Astyanax mexicanus: one gene and its partners. The protein of the gene in region 2 purifies or fractionates together with the protein of the main gene of each other region. This does not show direct contact. Links are inferred from orthologs where the notes say so. Each region holds a gene or a part of one and is shown on either strand. Other genes may lie near its edges.

Region 1 (4,862 bases), on a different chromosome or scaffold from region 2:
TTTTGTTTTTTTCAACCATTTCTCATTTTCTGCAAATAAATGCTCTAAATGACAATATTTTTATTTGGAATTTGGGAGAAATGTTGTCCAACAATGTTCATTTTACTCAAACATAAACCTATAAATAGCGGTTCAAATAGCTTGGACTTATTGGTTTACTGTAAATAGAGCAAATCAGTCAGAACCTGAAAAGAACTCTCACCTGAACTCCTAGAAGTTTACCATCTTCTGGAGGAATACTGGAAAACGCTGCTTCTGTGAACAAGAAAAGAACAAAAAACAGCAATGACCGGCAAAGGAACACATTTCAGCTATTATGTTAAAAACATATAGTTTAGTGTTCAGTGACTTTAACAAAAAATAAAACAAAAACGAACCTTAAAGAACCTAAATCTAATGCTAGAGGAACGTTTAGTGTTATCTGGGGAAACAACAGCCCTGGATTGGTTATTTAGACTCAGTTCAGCAGGAAGACTCGGTTTACAACACACAACACTCACTAACAACCGCGCGTCGCTTTAATAAACCTGTTATTAATGTTATTAATACAATAATAATCCACACTTACCCGCCATGCTGGATCCACACCGGCTCCCCCAGTGCTGAAAGCCGATCACCGATCGCCAAGTCCGGTACGTGAGACCTGAGTAATCAACCGCAGCTTCCCTGATTCAGTCATTTCTACAGTACATGTGTTTTATGTCCTTTTTTAAAATACATTTTGGTTATAAATGTTATAAATTACTCAAAATTATTTCTAAAATGTCTAAATTTATAGTTAATAAAAATCATTTTTTATTTAGACCTCTGTATACTAATGTATTTATGTTTTTTACAAAAGACTTTCTGAGGTGTAGATGTCCTATAATGTTATAAACGGCATTAAACCTTTTTATAATAATAATAAAAAATACTTACCACTCCGTAAAGCTACAAAATTATTTCAAATTAGAGATTTAACATCTTTTTATTTAATACATTTTGAAGTGTAAACTTGTGTGTATAGTAAAACATTTTTTTCAGTTTTTGAGTTTTAAAGTCTGTCCCCTTTAAAAATAAAAAAGCATATGTTTCAGGTATTTTATGTAACATTATAGGTATGTATAAACAAAGAAAATATTTTATTTATTCTGATCTAGATCATTTAGTAAAAAGTTGTTTGCATCAAATTATGGTGCAAAATTGGACAAAAAATGTCAAAACTACACTATATTTAAAGCAAATAAAAATAAAAAAAATCGCAAGGTAATACACATAGACAAAAACAATCTTTTATTAATAATTTTATTTATAATTTTCTAATTTTATTTTTTTTATTTCTATAAAATCCACGTCTTTTACAAAAGCCCCGCCCCCTCTTGGGCGAAACCGCTCTCTATTGGTCCGCTGTCACCGGACGCCACTTTCTATTTGTCCGCGCGTTTGCAGGGTGGATTTGAATGCAGCTGATTTGAAGCGAGCAGTGAGGAGAGTTCAGTTATTTAGTTATTTTTATTTAATTTAAATTCACACTTTTTACACAGTTACGGGTTTATATGCGTGTTTATATATTTAGTTGATTATTTGTAGTATTTAGATTGTAGTTGAGTGTTTTTGAGATGAAGGCTGAGGGCGGTGGAGTGTGTGTATCTGAGGGTGGAGAGCAGCGGCCGGTGGATGATCAACAGCAACAACCGGACCAGACCGACCCAGAGCCAGAACCAGAGCCAGAGCCAGAACCTGAACCAAAACCGGCGCCCAGACTCTTACCCAGAGGTACCAGAACCGACTTACTGATTTACTAAGAAACTAATGCAGTACAGCGAAGTGTCAGTGAGACAGCTTAGAGATACAGCCAGCGGTTTAACACAACAACTTAGCTAGCACTAACTTACCAGCTAACGAGGTTAACAAACTAACGTTAGCTAGCTTACTTATAAGTAACGTTAAGTGATTGATTAATTAACTAACTAACTAACTAACCTAGCTAACTAAATAAGTAGTTATTATTTAATTAATGAACTAACTAACTAACTAACCTAGCAAACTAACTAACTAAAGTTACCTAAATAAGTATTTAAATAACAAGCAAACTAACTAGCTACCTAACTAGTTGACTAACTAACGTTACCTAGGTAACTAGTTAACTGACAAGTTAACTAACTAACTAGTTACTATCTATCTAACTAAATCACTAGTTAACTAACTAACTAACTTAGTTAACTATCTATCTAGCTAACTAAATCACTTTATACGGTCATGATAAACCTGGGAAAGTCATGAAATTCAAAAATAGCAATTTCCAAGGATTGATTAGTTTTGGAAAAATAAAAAAGACCTAGAACGTTTTGGAAAAGTCCTGAAAACCTTGTCCACAAATCCTTTATGTTTCAGTTTATTGAAGGAGAAAAGCTATTTTGAGCTACAAATACATCAGCTCAGAGTTAATTCAGTAATTTAGCCTTATAGAGTAGAGCTCTCAGGATCTGACACGCATTTTATTATTAAAGATTGAGTGTCAACATTTTTATCAGATTCATTTTAGGCCTACTATCTTCAATTTTGTTTTTGTGTCTGCACTGATGTTTTAAAAATCATATGGTCATGAAAATGTCCCTTGAAAAATCATGAAAATGTATTGGTTAAAACATGTATGAGCCATGAACATAACTATGACCATGAAAACTTAAAAATAAAACATAACTATAAAACCATTAACTGTGGTACTGTGTGTAGCAAAGTGCAGTTACAAATGACTGTTTATGTGGCCAGTTATGTTGACAAATTGATCCATCCTTAATAATGTCTCCATAAGCACAGAGCGGGATAACAGTAAAAATTCTGCAGAATTTCATTCAGAAAGTGAACATTTCTATGGGTAAAACGCAGGTATAGTGATGATATATCGCTGTAAGTGATGGGAACTCTTTCCTCTGTAGCGATGTTTCAGGATGACGAGCACGATGAAGAGGAGGATGACGAGGATGACGATGAAGAAGATGACAGCGGCACAGATGGGCTGTCTAACGATGAAAAGCTGTGCACACATTTACAGCGGGCCGAGGCGTTCGGGAGCGCGGGGCTGCCTCACATCTTCCAAACCAACCATCTGCTTTTCTACGAGAGATTCAAAGCCTATCAGGATTACATGCTCGGTAACTCGCTGCATATTAACCTCATCATCTGTAGATGTGTCACTGTTTATTATGTTCATAATCACATCTGCTGATCTCTATACTGAATAGATCAGCAAATGGATAAATACAGTATATATAATACTTTTTAAAATATTATATTAAAATTCCCTGAGGTATAATATATAAAGTATATAAAATATCTAAAATATAAATGTTTGACCTCCATTAGACCTCTGAAACCTCTCCTCACCCATCTCTGTCTCTGTCTGTCTGCTGCAGGCGACTGTAAACCTTCAGAGGTGCAGGAGTTCACTGCGGATTACCTGGAGAAGGTGGTGGAGCCATGTGATTGGCAGGCGCTGTGGCACACTGACATGGTTGATGTTCTAGTTGAAGTGAGTGCAAAGAGTATTTGCTCGTCTGCCTTTTCACACCTACACAAAATGACTAGTTTCTTTGATTTTACCAAATTGAAAACCTCTGGAATATAATCAAGAGGAAGATGGATGATCACAAGCCATCAAACCACCAAACTGAACTGCTTGAATTTTTGCACCAGGAGTAAAGCAGCATAAAGTTATCCAAAAGCAGAGTGTAAGACTGGTGGAGGAGAACATGAGTTATTCCACCAAATATTGATTTCTAAACATTTAAAACTTTATGAATGTGAACATTGTATATGAATATTGTTTTCTTTGCATTATTTGAAGTCTGAAAGCTCTGCAATTTGTTTGTTATTTTTGCCATTTCTTATTTTCTCCAAATAAATGCTCTAAATGACAATATTTTTATTTGGAATTTAGGAGAAATGTTGTCTGTAGTTTATAGAATAAAACAACAATGTTAATTTTACTTAAACATAAATAGCAAAATCAGAGAAACCTATTTAGAAACTGAAGTGGTCTTTTTATTTTTTTCTAAAGCTATATGAACTTGAGTGACATCCTTTTCTTAATCCATAGGGTTTAATATGATCTCAGCCCAACCTTTACAGCTATAAGAGCTTCAGCTCATCTGGAAAGGCTTTACACAGGTTTAGGAGTGTGTTTATGGAATTTTTTCTCATTCTTCCACAAATACATTCGTGAAGTCAGACATTGATGTTGGATGGGAAGCTCTGGTTATCAGTCTCTATTCTAATCCATCCCAGAGGTGTTCCATCAGGTTGAAGTCAGGACTCGACTGTGCAGACCAGTCAAGTTCTTTCACACCAGACTCACTCATGCATGTCTTCATGTGTTCTGCAGGTGGTGGATGTTGACTATAAGGAGCTGAAGGGGAAGGTGGAGCTAGTGGAGCCCCTGCAGTGCGAGTATCGAGGTTGTGACCTCACTGAGGACTCGGTGAAGACGTTACTGGAGGCCAAGCAGAATAAAGTCCCGCTGCAGGAGCTCCATGTGGTTTATGATGAATCCGGAGAATTCGACCAGACAGCTCTCGCTCTGGAACATCTCAGGTTCAGCTCTCTTACTCAGTTACTCACACACATAACCACACACTCTACATGGAAGGCACATGGAGATGGTTGGAGTTATGCAATAAGGAGTAACCATTTCAATTCATATAGAAATCACATTAAAATCAGTGGATGAAGATATAAATCTGTACCAGTGGTAACATATTTAGAGTTTATACTAAAAAAGAATGGAATGGTAGAAGCTTAAATTGAACTAGAAAAGGTTTTAATAATCAAAATTCTTGAATGTTTGACCAACGTTTTTATTTTCTTTTTTTTTTATTTTTTAT
Region 2 (4,862 bases):
AAAATCGAAATCAAGCAAAAAGTCCAAGTTTACCATTTTTACAGTGAATAAGGTCATCCACAAGAGGTTTGGCAACATCTTCAAACAATTCCCGCTGTGTGGTTTTAATTCCAAAAACTTTCTTGAAGGAATATTGAGTCTGCAAAGTAACAATAAAGATAAACTCAATCAGCGGAGGTCACACTGACTTCAACATGTTTACTGTATGCAACTATAACACACAAAATGCCAGTTTTCTGAACAAAATGTTCAGTTTAAAAAAAAAAACAAAAAAAAAACAATATAAATTAAACTTAATAATTTCGCCTCATCTAAAGAACTAATATTGAATTAATTAAGTCTGAAGCACTGTTTAACTGTAGTAAACGCAATATTCTTTTTATAATGTAATACTAATCTAGTTACTAATTTTTATTTTTATTCATGCTGTGGAAGATATAAACAAAACCATCTAACCTCTTTAAATTCCCCATTCCTGTTGGCTTTGAGTCCATCAGGGGCATGCAGCTGGATGGTAGTACTGCTGATCACCTCAACACAGCATTCTTCGTCATCTGCACCTAGTGGACGTACTCGACAGTACACCTTCCCAAGCACACACACAAAGGTTACACACTGTAATCACCATTTCCAGTAATGTGACAGGAGCACACCAAGATTAATGAGCTGATTACCAAAGATCATGCAATAAACATACTAAAAGGCAAAAATTAACATCAAACATACCCCAACCGGATCTTTCTGGTTGTTTGTTGGCTTTTTAGGAGCTGGTCGGCGAGGGGTCTTACCCTTTCTGTAATATAAAATGCGGTATATAGAAAGCAGGTAACGTTAACTATAGAGAACAGATAATGTTAATTGACCTGAACCAAAAGGTACATGCTCTGTTGGCTGAAGCAAGCAGGCGGTGGCACATTTTACTTTGTTTATTTTTCAATTCAAAAGTAAACCTGTTGACAGGTCTAAAAGTGGAAGTAAATCCCATATTATGAATTAAACAAGTTAAGTTTTTTTTTTGTTTTTGTTATTTAATGTTTTATTGGTTTTAAAGTAATTACAATGTACAGGAAAATAGCACATTAATCAATCTCAACAAACAAACTAACAAACAAACAAACGAAAAGATTTGCTAATAGCACACAAAAAAAGAATAAGCACCAGTGTTATAAGCACTAAAAAGATTCTATAAAATAAAGCAATCAATACAGAAGTATAAGAAATGTTGCATAGCTATAAGTCAATCGAGTTTAAATACTCTGCTGCCTTGTCCCACATTCCATAGTATAGTTTATATTTTGGGTTAAAAGAATAGGACACCCGTTCCATCAAAATGTTTTCCATTAAAAAGTTTTTCCATATAGTTAAAGAAGGTGGCTGTGTCTCTTTCCATGAAAGTAAAATAGTTTTACTTTTTTTGCCTATTAATGCAGAAGATAAAATCATTTTAGCTACTAAGTTACTTTGCTAAGTTTACATACAGAGGTGTCACCTAATATAATTAGTCTTGGAGAAAGTGATATTTTAACATTTGTGATTTTAGATAAATGTTCAACAATACTTTTCCAAAAAGGTAATACACATGGGCAAGACCAGAACATATGGATAAGTGACCCTTCTTCTCTTTTACATCTCCAGCACAGATTTGAAACATGAAGTCTGTAATCATGTAATTTCTGAGGAGTGTAATGTATTCTATGTAATATTTTCATTTGAATAGATCTTAGCTTCATACTAGGAGTTGAACATTTTTTGTTGCTCCATACTAAATTCCAGGAATTATCATCCAAGACTTCATTAATGTCAGTATTCCATACATTTCTAAGTTTGCTATGTGATGTTTTAAAGATTGGGCAATGATAATCTCTAATTTTCATATATAATTTGGATACAATTTTATTACGATTTTCAAAATCAAACAAAGCAGTTTCAAGTGAGGAAGGTTTAAAAGTAGTATTTGTATAAATTTGATCAATTGTTTTCTTTAGATGTAAAAATATATATGAATCAGAGGTGCCTATTTTAATTTTTTCTTTTAAACTGCGTAAATTTCGACTTTACTTAAGTTAGAGGAGGAATTGGCCCAACCTTTTTCATTGAAGGAGATTTTTCTTCATGGCCCTGCACCTTCTTTAAAACAAAACATCTTTTTTTCAAATGCCAACCGAATTTTTAAAGCTTTATGCAATATTTTTGAAATACGAAACAAACTTTTTTCAAGCTCAGGTCTATGGTATAATCCTTTATTTACATTAAATAAGAAACCATTACATAGTGTCGATTGGAGCTCCAAAGGTATAAACATGGTGAAAGACCTCTTTGAAAATGGCAAATTACTGAATTAAACAAGTTAAGTTAATAAGTAGCAACAAGTAAAATGACAAATGTTGAGACACCTGCTCTTTTATTACTTAAAAAAAAACTAAAAATATTTGGTGGAGTAGTTAACAATCCCTAATGTCCAGGAAAGGCTTTCCCCTTCAATACAATACTTCTCTGTGTGTGAATTTACACATAGGTGTCAGAAATAGGTGTAACTTATATGAATGCATTCCTTAGGAGTGCCACAAACGTTTGGACACCTAGGTTAGCTAGGTATTTGGAGGGGTAACGTTAGCTAGGCTAGCTACATTAAAACACCAGGTAACGTTAACGTTAAAATGTTAGGTTAAATTAGACAGTGTAACGTTATTTATTAAACAGATTATCAGTATAAACAGATGAGCCAGTTAACTGTGAGCTAGGTTAGCTAACTAGCTACGTTAAATAAATGTTATGATGGATAGCAAGACAAGATTAAAACAGCGAAGCTAAGCTAGCTAGCTAACGGATAACTTGCTAGACATTTGTGGTTTTAAGCAACGCGATGTCATATTAATAACCACAACTTACAACTCGGTTAAACCTCCTGACTTACTAATCCATTTTACATTATAAAATGTTAAGTTATCTGCGCACTATAAACTAACGCTAGTAGTTAAAGTTTTTCGAGTTAAGCTAACCAATTAACTGGCGACACAACGGGGAGGACGCGGGTTAGTCAGTTAGCGATAGTCAGCCGGTTAAGATACGCTGGAGTTGTAGGAGAACAGTGTTACTAGCCGTCTAAAATAAAACAGACTTTCCGGACAGGTTTATACAGTAAAACTCAGACTGTGACAGAGACACTGTAGATACTCACGTCGGCCGGATCATCCTGCGCTGTTTTTATTTAACTGTGAGCCGCTCCGCCGCTCCGCTCTCCTCACTGACACACAGTTCGAATCTTCCCTCCGCCTGAGTTTTCAAATCCACCAATCACAGCGCAGAACCAGCGCCTCGCGCTACCGGATGTCCCGCCTAACGCTGGGAACGTAACTTCCACAACAACAACAACATTAGAAATATTATAATAATAAAAATAATAATAAAAAAAAAAAAAAATAATAATAATAATAATAATAATAATAAAAAAAATAATAATAAATAAACACATAATAATAAATAATAAATAAATACTACTACTACTACTACTACTAATAATAATAATAATAATAATAATATTAAGAGGAAGAAGAATATTATCCACAGTTTCCTAAAATAATCTCCTAACTCATATTTAAATTTTTTAACACTCATTTAAAAAGTGTAAAAAATAAAATATTTGAATATTATAGAAAATTTTATAGAATATTTGATGCATTTTATTTTAGAGGTGATTATTTGGAACCAAGAAAATTAACTCTATACAGTATATACAATAGTTTGTGATATTAGGGAAATTTCATATTCACAGCATGAAATGGTTTCTCAAAACCGAATTTGATAAAAAATTTAAAAGATTTAAAACATTACATTCTGCTTGTAGAATATTTAAGTAATAAGAAGGCATTAAAAACAATCAATATTATTTAAGTTTTTCTTTCACTTTTTTAATATGCACATTTGAATCTTAAATTATAACGAAAAAAATCAACTAAGAGGATAGTTTATCATACAGTTGAGCAGTAGAACCATCCAGAAACAATCCTTATTCAACATTCTGAAAATACAGATAACAAAAACAGTTACATTTTAACAGCCACAAACTGTAGAACTTTTCTAGCTAGCTTAATGGTCTAAGCTATTTTGCTGACTGCAGACAAAATAAATCTATAAAACGTAATACTAAATATCTATGCAATATCTATAGCAAATAGCCTTTATTAATATGAAGTATAATATATTCTAGTACAAATCCCATCACTTACCAATTAGGAATGAGTCCCGTAGAAATTAATTTAGTGAAGGTAGCTCTGTCTTGGAAAGCTTTACAATTACAATTGCACAAGTATTTTTTTAGCTTTAGTCATACTCTTGACATAGACCATTATCATTAAGGTGTTGAATCAAATTATCTTACAAACTGAGGGTGTAGGCAATTTTACCACAGATGGCCAGCATAATGAGCAAATTATTTAGGCATAAAAGTCAATTTTGTAAAAAAAAAAAAAAACATTATGTATCATATTAATGAAATCTATTTGTATTTGTTACAACACAATTCATAGCTGTTATAGATACTTTTCAAACATACGCACAAATACTATACACAACACTACACAAATGGAATTGTGTATTGTTCGGTCTTTTGGACAATCACAATTATATATTATAAGCTGTACATTATACATACATGTAAATTCTCAAGTGAAATATACTGCATTAATCCAGCTTTCTTTAAAACAATTCAACAAACAAATACAAATCTATAAAACATGAACTACAGTTACACTGAATGTGTAACTGTACACCCTCTTGCTTGTGCTTTTCTAAACATTTACATTTCTGTATTAGTTAACCTGTTGAGCAGATTTTTTATATAATTAAATGTGATTTTTTATAAA
Region 3 (4,862 bases), on a different chromosome or scaffold from region 2:
CAGAAGTGCGGCCAGTGGATCGAGACCGCTTGGCAGCAGCTGGTGGACCTTCAGTGTGGTTTCGGGAGGAGCGCTACAAAAAAATAATAATAATAATTTATTTAAAATCACATATTTGCTTTAAGGAATGTCCAAATTTCATGAACTGGGTTTTATAGATGAATATACACAAGTCATCAGCTTACTCTCTTCTGACGTTTCTTCAGTCGAACAGTTCTGACAACAGAGGAGTCCCAGTCCTGTTGAGAAAACAACAAATCAAATTATGTTTATATGTTTAACTCTATGGAATAAACAGCAAAAATTAAAGTCAATAGAAAGTTAATTACCAACGAATCATCAGTTTTATCATAACTGATGTCTGATAGGATTGAGGCAGATTCATCAATGGTGGTCAACCTACAGAAAATTAATGTTACAATTTAAAAAAGAGAGATATTTTAGCAGCTTATTCCTAAGCTTGAGTGTGACATATTAATAAACAGTGATATTATTTTTCTCTCCCTCACCTTCGGCTGCTGTTGAGATTAGCAGGTGTCTGAGAGCGTGCATTAAGAAAAGCCAGGGCTGAGCGTTGCTCATCATTCAGCTGGATGCTATTGCTAGAACCCTCCGTGACCAGCAGATCTCGGATCAGCTGGATCTGACGATCCTGTGGACAACAAAAAAGAAAGAAAGAAATTATTTACTGGGTTTACTCTAAGAAAGCCCTACTTCACCAGTTACTGAGCTTTATAAAGCAACCTATGCACTCGTGGAATGAATGGAAGGCAAATGTCAATCAGCATTTCTGTCTGTCTGGTATGTGCAATGTCTCCAGGTCACATACCAGCTTTTCGCAGTCTGCTTCAGCTTTTTGTCGTCTCCGGATTTCCACGTCCACTTGGTTACGAGCGTGTTTAAGTTTGACCTCCAGAGCCCCTCTCTCAGTCTCCGCCTTGGCAAGCACCTCCTTACACGAGGCGAAATCCTGCTCCACTCGGAGCCATTTACGCCGACAGTCCTCAAAGTTCAGGGCCATCTGAATGAACTCTATAAATACAAGCGTAAGTGTAAGGAAGACTGTTCCCATGATACCGCTGCATATACACACATGGCAGGTTGTATTTATGTGTAAAATAAACAGTGTAATTCAACTCACGAGGCTCGATGCTTTCACTGAGGACGTCAACATGGGCTCTTAGATTTTCAAAAATGCCAAAAAGGTTCATCACAGCAGTGTCCATGTTCTACAAAGAATAATAAAAAATTAAAAAAACAGAACTGATTCTACAAAGGCTCTGTATATATTTTTTTTTTGAATAACTGACAAAGATGTTAAATTATTAAGTTCAACAATCCTAAACAATTATTTATATTTATATATATATATATATATATATATATATTATATATATATATATATATATATATATATATATATATATATATATATATATATAAAGGTTGTATGAAACTTTGTACAGAGTTCTCCCAATGTAATATAAAATACAAAAAAAGAAAGAGTTAGTCATTGAACTCTTGTCCAACTTAGTCACATGTAGCACTTTATTTTTGGTTGTGTCTGCCAGCATGATCAAGCTGACCACGCTAAATAACTAGTATGCCCAAGCTAATCCAATTAAACTAAAAATTAACAAATAGGTAGCCGAATCTTGCCAGGTGTTCTGTCGAGTTATGCTACCCATCGATACGTGCTTCCTAAAGGCACTGCGCATGCGCTGACCTACACCTTTTGATTATTTCTCGTTTTATTTATATATATATATATATATATATATATATATATATATATATATATATATATATATATAATAAATGCTTTTTTTGTTTGTGCATTAAACAACTTGGACTCACTGTCATTGCACTAAAGTGTGAATAAAAGTTACATACAATAATTATAAAAGACTTATACAGGGAACATGCTCTAATACGGTGCTTGTTTTGTATTTTTACAGTTAAATATACACTAGAGTAGCCCACAAGTTAGCACAACTCACCACAATTCTGTTCTAACAACAACAACGCTGTTGTAACAACAACAAGTTAAAACAGCCTTTACATTGTTACCTAGCTTGGTAAAGTTAGCTAGTAACGTTAAACTCGCTATAAACAGACCTTAGCTACGTTATAATACAAACATTAGATAGTTAACGTTGACATTTTATACAGTTTTAACATCACAAACAGTTCGCTAAAATGCCTACAAAATAACCTTAAGTAACGTTAGTTAACTTGACCTAGCTAGCGTTAGTTAGCTAGCTAAGCTAACCGACTGTGTAACTTGCACAAGTCAACCCCAAAGCAAGGTGAACGCACATTAGCTAGCTAAGCTAACTAACTTAGTTCTAAGGAATGCAGTTAGTTAATGTAACGCTCAAGAAAATATAGTAAACATATCAGCTAATGTGGTAATCCTGTAACGATAAATTAGCAGCGGGTTCTGTGTTGTGCGGTGATTTTAAACAGATTCACACAGTAACTACAGTTAATCCCGGTGCTGTTGAACAACAATAACAACTATTATTGCGGTAAAATCTGATAAAACCCGGTAAAATACTCACCTCTGCGCTGTGTCCTCTCGCTGTGATCTGTTCTGATGATATTAATCAGGAGGAAATTGGGAAAACCCGCTGAATTACACTATAAATCGCTGCCTGCCCATCAGAGCTGGGTCGGTCTGAGCACAGCGCTAACGGATTAGCAGCGAGTGTAGTTACATTTCAAATTTACCCGCTAGCCAATGAGCGCCAAGCTGCGCAGGCGTGAACAGTGAGGCAGAGCGGGGGGCGGAGTCTCATTAAACTTTGAATTATTTTTAACTCCAAAGACAACATTTGTTATTTTGAATTAAAAAAAAAAAAAACATTATGTATAAATATTACATATCCTTTTCTTTTTGTGAGTAAAAGTTATATTTATAAGGAAGAACTATTAAATAATACATAAAAATATTTTTAAGCTTATATCATAAAATAACTCAATAATTACTACATTTTTAAAAAAGCTATGATGGATTTTTTTTCAACAAACACATGTGATGAAAAAACTGAAGCTTTGTGTGTCTATATTTTTTTTCCCTTAAAATTATATTATTTGTATTTTCTTTAATAATAATATCTCGTTTTCTTTCAATTTAATTCAGTTCGAGTGAGTCCAAATTAATATAAAGCATGCTGTTTTCTTTACTTCTTTTTGTTTGTGTACAACTATTTTCTACTATTTTTAGCTAAAAAAATGACTGGCTTGACTTTGACTAGCATTGTATATTCTATATTGAAATGTAAACAAAGGAACTAAATAAAATAACTAAAATATCAAAATAACCACAAATAAAGTAAGGTAAAGAAAAAATATCATACAATATCTAATTTGTTTTTATCTTCTTATATATGAGCATAAACCTCCATAAAGCAAAATGCAGTATGGAATGTTTATTATATTTTGTCCTTATAATATATTTTTCCTTCTTTTCCCCCTTATTTCCCCACTACGTTTTATTGCCCACTTCAGCAGCACAATAAATCTGTTTTACTAAGCTCCCTGCTAGTCTCTCTCCTCTTGCGTTTTCAACCCAGAGAGGCTTCGCCTGAAAGAGCCGGATGGTGGCAGCAGAGAATAGAAAACCCAACACCAGCTGCCAAAGCTTCACCTGAACCTCCCCATCAAAAACTTTTACAGTTTTCTGGATTGTTTACACACATTTTCTGAAAACATGCCTCATATTCTCAGAACTCTACACACAAATCCAACAAAAACGCACACAATGGGCAAAATCCTTCAATTCTCCTGCAAAATGAAACTTTACATTCAAAACAGTGTTATATTTTCACAAAAGGCTATTTTGTGTTCAGATGACACACAGAAACCATCATATGAACAGACAATTAAAAGAAGCAGTTGAACACTGACGTGCTCAGTGTAAAACACCATTCTCCATTCATCATAATGACATACAGACAGTAAACACATAAGTGCGTTGTAAAATATTAATTTTTTTTTTTTAACTCAGAACAGACAAATACACAGTAAAATAATAATTTTATTTTTCCAACAAAATGTACACATGTACAATGCAACCAATACAAAGATGCAGTGATTTACATACAAAACAACAGAAGAGTTTATTGTATAAAATTACAGTAAACAAAAAAACTATGCTGCATCCTGTCTTCTGTTTTAGTCTGGCCACAGCATCTAACCAACATCACAAGCAATCCAGCTATTCAATGCATCAACTGCTATATCTCCACATGCATATTCTATAGCTTGGAGAAGGGGTATATCCGTTTGTGAAGTTAGGTCATACACTTTCCATCTCCAGGCGGGAAAAAAATCATCAATAGGATTGAGGAATGGAGAATATGGGGGGGAGATATACAACTGACAAGAGTGTGTGGGCAGTGAACCAGTTATGAACCAAAGCAGCCAGGTGGATACTTACTTTGTCCCAAATGACAACGTGCCTGAGCTGCTCTGGGCCAGCAATCTGATCAGGTGGAATGAGTGTGTTGTGTAGGGTGTCCAGAAATGAGAGTAAGAGAGGTAGTGTGTCTGTAAAAGAGATGTGTGTGACTGTGTGTGAGTAAGAGATAGAAGGTGTGTTTGTGAAAGATGGTGTGTGAGAAAGAGAGACGGTGTTTGTGAAAGAGACATACTGTGTTTGTGAAAGGGATAGTGTGTGTGTGTGTAAGTGAAAGAAAATAAGAGATAGTGTGTTTGAGGGAGAGTGTGAGAGAGAGAATGAGAGACAGTGTGTGTGTGAGAGAGAGTAAGAGAGAGTGTGTTTGAGGGAGAGTGTGAGAGAGAGAATGAGAGACAGTGTGTGTGAGAGAGAGAGAGAGTAAGAGAGATAGTGTGCT

The links.
Region 1: the proteins of kif23 (region 2) and shcbp1 purify together in Homo sapiens (affinity purification with western blotting; 9 studies listed by BioGRID and IntAct, with this or other methods). This does not show direct contact. The link is inferred for Astyanax mexicanus from reciprocal best matches to the Homo sapiens genes KIF23 and SHCBP1.
Region 3: the proteins of kif23 (region 2) and racgap1 purify together in Homo sapiens (co-immunoprecipitation; 10 studies listed by BioGRID and IntAct, counting the BioPlex papers as one, with this or other methods). This does not show direct contact. The link is inferred for Astyanax mexicanus from reciprocal best matches to the Homo sapiens genes KIF23 and RACGAP1.

The regions. Positions count from the first base shown.
Region 1 is NC_064430.1:24,492,006-24,496,867, reverse strand, and holds the start of shcbp1 (SHC SH2 domain-binding protein 1), read left to right. Parts: upstream 1-1,420; 5' UTR 1,421-1,598; coding exon 1,599-1,755; intron 1,756-2,918; coding exon 2,919-3,134; intron 3,135-3,395; coding exon 3,396-3,511; intron 3,512-4,363; coding exon 4,364-4,572; intron 4,573-4,862. Other genes in the region: pop4 (ribonuclease P protein subunit p29), read right to left, coding at 203-255, 569-575. UniProt on the Homo sapiens protein: May play a role in signaling pathways governing cellular proliferation, cell growth and differentiation. May be a component of a novel signaling pathway downstream of Shc. Acts as a positive regulator of FGF signaling in neural progenitor cells.
Region 2 is NC_064416.1:24,630,698-24,635,559, forward strand, and holds the start of kif23 (kinesin-like protein KIF23), read right to left. Parts: upstream 3,305-4,862; 5' UTR 3,193-3,304; coding exon 3,179-3,192; intron 794-3,178; coding exon 727-793; intron 586-726; coding exon 457-585; intron 140-456; coding exon 34-139; intron 1-33.
Region 3 is NC_064420.1:6,133,142-6,138,003, forward strand, and holds the start of racgap1 (rac GTPase-activating protein 1), read right to left. Parts: upstream 2,725-4,862; 5' UTR 2,565-2,724; intron 1,230-2,564; 5' UTR 1,227-1,229; coding exon 1,142-1,226; intron 1,033-1,141; coding exon 830-1,032; intron 653-829; coding exon 510-652; intron 400-509; coding exon 330-399; intron 240-329; coding exon 186-239; intron 74-185; coding exon 1-73.